2 linked regions of the Oryzias latipes genome follow. The protein of the gene in region 2 interacts with the protein of the main gene of each other region in a pairwise test. Links are inferred from orthologs where the notes say so. Each region holds a gene or a part of one and is shown on either strand. Other genes may lie near its edges.

Evidence for each region.
Region 1: the proteins of pex16 (region 2) and pex19 interact in binary tests that used the Homo sapiens proteins (3 or more experiments, as listed by UniProt). The link is inferred for Oryzias latipes from reciprocal best matches to the Homo sapiens genes PEX16 and PEX19.

The regions. Positions count from the first base shown.
Region 1 is NC_019875.2:3,245,586-3,249,651, reverse strand, and holds the start of pex19 (peroxisomal biogenesis factor 19), read left to right. Parts: upstream 1-1,266; 5' UTR 1,267-1,294; coding exon 1,295-1,358; intron 1,359-2,431; coding exon 2,432-2,520; intron 2,521-2,623; coding exon 2,624-2,786; intron 2,787-2,869; coding exon 2,870-2,970; intron 2,971-3,033; coding exon 3,034-3,207; intron 3,208-3,287; coding exon 3,288-3,458; intron 3,459-4,019; coding exon 4,020-4,064; intron 4,065-4,066. UniProt on the Homo sapiens protein: Necessary for early peroxisomal biogenesis. Acts both as a cytosolic chaperone and as an import receptor for peroxisomal membrane proteins (PMPs).
Region 2 is NC_019861.2:661,549-665,830, reverse strand, and holds the start of pex16 (peroxisomal biogenesis factor 16), read right to left. Parts: upstream 2,809-4,282; 5' UTR 2,782-2,808; coding exon 2,583-2,781; intron 2,498-2,582; coding exon 2,462-2,497; intron 1-2,461. Other genes in the region: cars (cysteine--tRNA ligase, cytoplasmic), read left to right, coding at 2,924-2,945. UniProt on the Homo sapiens protein: Required for peroxisome membrane biogenesis. May play a role in early stages of peroxisome assembly. Can recruit other peroxisomal proteins, such as PEX3 and PMP34, to de novo peroxisomes derived from the endoplasmic reticulum (ER).

The DNA.
Region 1 (4,066 bases), on a different chromosome or scaffold from region 2:
AAAACAAAATGTTAAAAATTGTATTTAGGAGATTCATACTTTGGTGCAACAACTCTTCTCAGGCATAATAGTTAAATGGTGGTTTTAAACGCCATGCTCTGGTTGTACCCACAAAAAATGTGGCAAATCTTCTGTACCTATAAGAAAAATCTTCTATCGCATCTTTTTTTTTTTTTGGTGCCTCCCGGTGCTGCCAGACAGCTGAGAGCATGGACTCTCCTACAGGGGTCAGTGTCTGCTCCAAGCATCAGATAGGTGCCTCATGATCAGCATGACACTTTTCACTACTACTGATTGGAATGTTCGTGTGCTGCAGACTGACTTCCAACTGTTGTGCTGCCAAACCATGTTGCAGTGTTTGGAATCACACCTGTCTGCACCCTTTAATGCTTTAATGTCCAAAACCAAGCAGGAGCCGTAACGTCCCACTTTAATGTTTAGATAACTACTGTGTGACTATTAAACCATTCATTGATCAAATGTATTTTAACATTATTTATATAATGTTTCAGGTATTAATATTGACAGAATCATACCAGTCCTATATTTTTCTAAAGATAACTTTTGACAGCAGAAAAGCAAGTTCTTTTCAAAATAAAATACATCCTGTATCAACTGAGGTCCTCTTGCTGCTGTTGCAGTTTTACTTGCAACTATATACGTTTAAGAACTGTAGGACAGCTGAAGATAAGAATATATGATTTAAATTTATTAAATAAAAAAACAGTTCTAACGGTAGATTAAACCTTTAAGCATCATTTTGCCAATATTTATCTGACGTTTGCATCTTGGAGGAGTGGTCAAGCTCCCAAAGCCTCTTTGTAGTTTCATGACAGCAATAGTTTAAAAATAAGACAGTTTTCTATGCTAATTTAAAATTTTGAGAGTGCCAATAAACCCATTTATTGCTAAATGCTAAAAAGAACTTAATATACAGATTACATTAAAATCTCTTTTTTAAAAAGGTGTATAGATATATATTTTTTTTACTTCAAGCACATTTTGAAGACAAATATTTCCGAAAAAGACTCACTTAAGTTGCAGAGCATAAAACTGTGCCACTGAACTTTTGATTGTTACGTTTTTAAGTTGATGAAACGGTCGGTGGTCACGAAAATGAGGGACAAAGCGTCACATGTTGATCCTCCTGCATGTGATCCGCAGAGAAAAGCTGTTATGCCTACTCACGCCACCAGGTGGTGCCAGATTTCGGTATGGGCTTGTGACGTAGAGTATGTGCGACGTTTTTTATAGCCAGAACGTCAATTTTGTGAGACAAAGCTGTCTTAGCATTATGGCGTCCGGAGGAGAAGAGGTGTCCGGTGGAGTAGACGCAGAACTGGACGAGTTACTGGACAGTAAGTTCGTCAGGAAGGAATATTAGGTTCACCCTTTTACGTGTCTGTCTGTTGCTAGGAAGATTTCGCTGCTTGGACACTTCTGATGACCGTGTATAAGCTTCAGGTGCTCGGTAGCAGTGACAGTTACCAAAGTATCGCTGACTGACAGCTCGCACGGGCTTCAAAATAAAGCCAGTTTAAGCCGTTTTCAAATGTTTTTGGATATTAATTGTTTAAAAAAAAGTGGATTATAGAGATATAGTTTATAGAAAATGTTAAAGAGGTGTTGTTATTTTTTCAATATTACAATATTGTCAAAATTTTCAGGAACATTTTATTGTTGTTTTTTTCCTTGTTGATTTATAAATACTTCTAATATGTCATCTGTGGTTGCTTTGTGTTACTTTTATAGTTTTGTCTTCTGCTGTATTCTTAAATGTTATTGTTCAGGTCTAGTTTTAAAATAGAAATTATTGACAAATAAGATAGATAGATATCTTAACTTATACTAGGGATGTAAAAGAAAGATACAGATGTTCATCAAAAAGGGATCAAGCACAGAGAATCGCAGTAGAATTGGTTGAAAAACCACAGATACAAACAAGTGTGGGTAAAAATGTGTTAAACTGTTCAGGAAGTTATAAATTCTTCTGATAACCATTTTTCTCACATCACATAAAACAATACATGAATAAATTAATATGACACCTTTTTATTTAAGAAACGAAGCAGCCTACAATGCAGGTTTAAATATTCATTGAATGAATAATAAATATTCAGATTGTATTTGTTTAGTCAAAAGAATTGGACTTTATCCTGTCGCCACAAAGTTAGTTGAACCTTTTATGCATCGATTCATGGACCAAATATTGAGATGCGTCTACTTACTTATCATTTTGTCAGCTTGACCTCTTCACTGCTGCTGCATTTTATGTTTATTATCTGATCAAAAGTAAAACAGACTGACCATCCAAACAGAAACTAAACAATTACTGAGCTGAAAGTATTGCTTTTTTTTTTAAGGCAATCGATCAAATATTTCATATATTGCTTGGATAATAAATGCCTACTGCTGTGTCTTTTTCCTTTAGGCGCTTTGGATGACTTTGACAAAGCCTCCTCTCCTCCGGCCCCTGAAGCTGCAGCAGCCTCTTCCTCAGCCAGCAGTGGTGCAGAGAAGGTCTGTGTCTGCTTCTGTTCATTAGGATTCAGCTGCCTTCTGCTTGGACTGAAAGACCCCATCAATAGTACGATCTTCACAAGTCTTCCATTTCTGCCTGTAGCCCCCCCTGCTTGAGGACTGCAAACTCTTTGAGAGTCTCTTTGAGGGGGACATGGCGACCCAGGCCAGGGACGAGTGGGAGAAGGCCATGTCCGAGCTGGCCCAGGAGGAGCCAGAACTGCTGCAGCACTTCCAGAAACTGTCAGAGGCAGCAGGCAAAGTCGGTAAGAGGAGTTATTTGTTGTGAATCTTTGTTATACTGAATGTGTCGGTCTTGCAGTCTAAGTTGCGTGTTTGCTCCAAACAGGGACAGACACAGCTTCCCAGCAGGAGTTCACTTCCTGTCTGAAGGATACCCTCCGTGGCCTGGCGAAGAATGCAGACAACCTCCAAGTTGGCTCCTTAGACGTAAAGGAATATTGGTGTAAAGCTTTTGAAGGAAAATAATGACAATTGTTTTGTTTTACCCAGTCTTCAGGTCTAGCTGGAGATGACCTGGTTAAGGCTCTTGAGGGTCTTGGGTTGGATGAGGGTGGGGAAGGGGGTGGAGACGATGGGAACATCCTCCCCGTCATGCAGTCCATCATGCAGAACCTGCTCTCTAAAGAAGTGCTGTATCCTTCTCTCAAAGAAATCACCACTAAGGTCTGCAGATGTTTCCTCTGAACCCATCAGACTCTGAATCCACTCTTCCAGCTTTGACCGTTGACGTCTCACCTTCACAGTACCCAGAGTGGCTGCAAGCAAACAAGCCCAGCTTAAGTGCAGAGGACTACCGCCGCTACGAACAGCAATCCAAAGTCATGGGAGATATCTGCAAGCTCTTTGAGGCCGAGGAACAGGGAGTAGAAAACAAAGAGAGAACTTTTGAGAGCATCATGGACCGGATGCAGCAGGTGATGCAGCTTTTTTCTTTTGGGACAATATTTACAATTGATTTGTTTATTTAAATTTGCTTTTTATGTTTTCTGTTTTGACATCATCCACATTATTCTGAATCATAGTAAAAGTCACAACACATCACTTTTTCGACGATCCAGCTGCAGGATGTCCATCATTTATGGATGTGATGGTTGCAAAGCTCTTTTAATATCTTTAGGGACTGTTGATGGCTAAACTGTTTCCCTGTAAAACTGATTTTAAAAAGGTCACTGAACACACACTGTTATTGCCGTTACGGCTAACAAGCAGCATTTAAAAGTTTAGATATTGTAAGCTCAAAAAATACCCTTCAAACACAAATTTCCCAGTTATTATCTTCTTACAGAGATAATAACTACATTATAATTATATTATAATTTATACTATAAATTAAGTTATTAATGTAAGCTTATTAAAAATGCGCCTTTAAGCATATCCATGGACAAAAAATGTTGTGTTTATTAGTTCAAACATGCAAGGTTTTTGGTTTTTTGGACAGGAACTCAACTGTTTTGTGTTTAATTATCTCCTTATAGCTGCAGGATCTAGGCCAGCCACCCAAGGAATTGGCAGGAGATGTGGT
Region 2 (4,282 bases):
CCATCATCCATCCATCATCATCCATCCATCATCCATCCCTCCATCATCCATCATCGATCCCTCCATCATCCATCTATCATCCATCCATCCATCATCCATCCATCCACCTTCATCCATCCATCCATCATCCATCCATCATCCATCCATCATCCATCCATCCATCCATCCATCCATCATCCATCTATCATCCATCATCCATTATCCATCCATCCATCCATCATCCTTCATCCATCCCTCCATCATCCAACTTTCATCCATGCATCCATCCATCCATCCATCATCCAACTTTCATCCTTCATCCATCCATCTATCATCCATCCATCATCCATCCATGCATCCATCCATCCTCCATCATCCATCCATCTATCATCCATCCATCTATCATCCATCCATCTATCCATCATCATCCATCCATCCTTCACCCATCCAACCTCCAACCTTCACCCTTCATCCATCCACGATCCATTTATCATCCATCCATCTATCATCCATCCATTCATCAATCCATCCATCCATCCATGCATCCATCCATCTTCCATCCATCCATCCATCCATGCATCCATCCATCTTCCATCCATCCATCAATCCATCTATCATCCATCCATCCTTCACCCATCCATCATCCAACCTTCATCCTTCATCCATCCACCATCCATCTATCATCCATCCATCCATCCATCCACCATCTATCCATCATCCATCCCTCCATCATCCATCTGTCATCCATCGATCATCATCCATCCATCATCCATCCCTCCATCATCCATCATCGATCCCTCCATCATCCATCTATCATCCATCCATCCATCATCCATCCATCCACCTTCATCCATCCATCCATCATCCATCAATCATCCATCCATCATCCTTCATCCATCCCTCCATCATCCAACTTACATCCTTCACCCATCCATCCATCATCCAACTTTCATCCTTCATCCATCCATCCATGCATCCATCCATCCTCCATCATCCATCCATCCACCATCCATCTATCATCCATCCATCTATCATCCATCCATCTAACCATCATCCATATATCATCCATCCATCCATCCATCCATCATCCATCCATCCTTCTCCCATCCAACCTCCAACCTTCATCCTTCATCCATCCATGATCCATCTATCATCCATCCATCCATCAATCCATCCATCATCCATCCATCCATCCATGCATCCATCCATCCATCCTCCATCCATCCATCCATCCATCATCCATCCATCCTTCACCCATCCATCATCCAACCTTCATCCTTCATCCATCCACCATCCATCTATCATCCATCCATCTATCATCCATCCATCCATCCATCATCCATCCATCCATCCATCCATGCATCCATCCATCATCCATCCATCCATCCTCCATCCATCCATCCATCCATCCATGATCCATCCATCCTTCACCCATCCATCATCCAACCTTCTTCCTTCATCCATCCACCATCCATCTATCATCCATCCATCTATCATCCATCCATCCATCCATCATCCATCCATCCATGCATCCATCCATCATCCATCCATCCATCCATCATCCATCCATCCATCCATCATCCATCCATCCATGCATCCATCCATCATCATCCATCCATGCATCCATCCATCATCCATCCATCCATCATCCATCCATGCATCCATCCATCATCCATCCATCCCTGCTGGTGTCATAAAGCTAACATGTTCTGTTCTTTGTGGGATTTTTATTTCAGATCTTCTTCTGTGTTTCTGAACAGAAACATAAACGTTTTCCAGAAGCAGCTTTCAGCTCTGGTTCCCAAACATTCAGGAGGTTCTTTTATCGTACTTTTACTTTTGCCGTTTTTGGAGATTTTATTTATACAACTGAATGTAGTGTACAAACTTAAATAGAATGTATTCTTTACAAACTCTTTCCTAGTGAAGAATAAACGTTCAGCTAAAGCATTTTTCAGAGCTTTGATATTTGTGACACTTTTTCAGCCCTGTAGACACTTCCAGCTGTGTCTGTCATTGTTCTTCCTTCTATTTGGACACTAAAAAATACTGCAGTTTTATCAGTAAATGCTCGTTTATTCAACTTTGTTTCAGATTACAGTTTTAGTTAATTAGCTAAGACATTAGATTAAACTAAATCAAAACAAAAAATAACTACAAGCTATAGTACAATATCAGCTGTTTCACACATTTAAATAATGTATTACAATGACTGTGATCTAATTATAAATAAATAATGCGATTATTTTGCAAATATACTCGCTATTTTTGAATTGCAGCTTTTCTGCAGGGAGACTTTTTCTTTTCTCTGAAACATTTCCTGAATCCACATACAGTTTTTTTTCCTGAGCTTTTAAATGTGAGCAGTTTTCTTCAGACCTTCATCATTGTAATAAAACAGAATTCACTCAAATCCTCAAAATAAAAAAACATTCAACGCGCATGCGCACACGTGCAGACTTTTTTGCACTAAGCAACTCACCTAATTCCGATATTTCATGACAATCAGCAAATCGACCTGCGGATTCGGAATAAAAGTGTCCTTTAGAAGCAGCTCGGTCATTGAAGGGTACCGCGGAAGCTGCTGCTGAGCCGCGGCTCACCTGCGATCAGGTAGGACAGAGTCCGGACGGTGTTCTCCAGCTGCGCCGTGGCCGCGGGGTTCCTCCTCACGTACTCCGTGTAGCGCTCATAAACGCGGCTCACTCTGTCCACGTAGTCCTTCATGCAAGACATTCTCCTGACCGGGCGATCGGAGCAGAGAGGAGCCGCTTCTGTGGCCTCGAGCCCACTTTTTCTCATGTAAACAAACTTCCGCTTGTTGTGGGCCGTCAGTCTTTAGCGTCCCCCTCGCTAACAGGTCCGCTTGCATTAGTTCCGGTTCCGTCTGCTTCCGGGCACGTTCTTGTTGCATCAGCATCTGCCGGTTAGCTCTGTGTTCATCATGTCGAGCTCAGGAGACTCAGGTAGGCGGTTTAGATCCTCTGACTGTCGGTTGGACATGAATTTATTACCAAATGTGTCCTAAAGATGCGATCATAAAGCGACCATGAAACCCGCGCGAGGGGTTAAGGAGCCGCGCTAGCTCAACCAACGACAACATGATGATCGAGCGGAATCAATGACAGCCGCACCGGGTCAAACCTGCTGATTTACCCGGGCTACACCTGCTGACTTACCCGGGCTACATCTGATGATTTGCCCGGGTTACACCTGATGGTTTACTCGGGTTACTTACACCTGCTAATTTACCCGGGTTAACCTGCTAATTTACTCGGATACACCTTTACCCGGGTTACAGTTACACCTGCTGATTTTTTCGGGTTGCACCTGATGGTTTACCCAAGTTAGACTTGCTGGTTTACTGTGTGTGTGTGTATGGGTGTGGGTGGGTGGGTGTGTGCGTGCGTGCGTGCGTGTGTGTACTCCCTTTTATATTTAGATGTTTTAATCAGATTTCTTGATGTAACTAACTGCGTTTATTTGCTTTTGCTTCTGCTTTTTAATATTAAAACAATAATTTATATCTAACAATGTTTATTAAATAATTGTATCCATTGAAGCAAAAGTTCTTTCAAACTGTTCAAACCATTATTGTGTTCAGGAACGTTCTCTCAGAGTTTCGGTGTTTGTCTTGGACCTCTAGAACCGACCCAGCTCTGGTTCTTCTGGTTCTGAGGTTGTAGCTTCCTGCGTTCCTCTCATGAGTTTCCTGTCAGACGGAGTCTTCTGGGAACAGGGTTCCCTCCAACTAGAGGCCGTCTCTATCGATTCATTCAGCAGTCGATTGGTCAACAATGATTGTTTTGTTTTTGACTCGAGGTGATAGTGCCGCTATCAGTCCTCTGAGGTTGGCGTCATGTATGGTACTGCTAAGGCTCGGCTTATGTCTACCTCAGGTACAGGTACCTTTACCTGTGCCTTACCTGTCCTTAGTAAGCCTGTACAGGTAAGCTCTATTCGAGCACAAAAAGCCAGAATTGGCTGTTCCTGATTCCTGCTCTGAATCCGTGTCTGAAGGTCCCATAGAAAAAATGTTTTTATGAACATGGGTTTAACTATTGCAGCTGGTGAACCCAGTGATCATTTCCCCTCCATCAGATTGCTGAACTGACTCGGGTTGTCGCGCCCCGATCCTGTCTTTAAATTCTTCAGGTCTCATTCCTTCTGGATCCCGTTAACTGTAAGTGTTGCAGACATCTCTGGCGTGCGCCGGCTCCTCCCGGTCTACAGTCAATGGTGCAGATCAGAATTTCGAGCTTCCGCGTCCTGAACGCCCTTCCGGTCGCGGGCTGTACATACA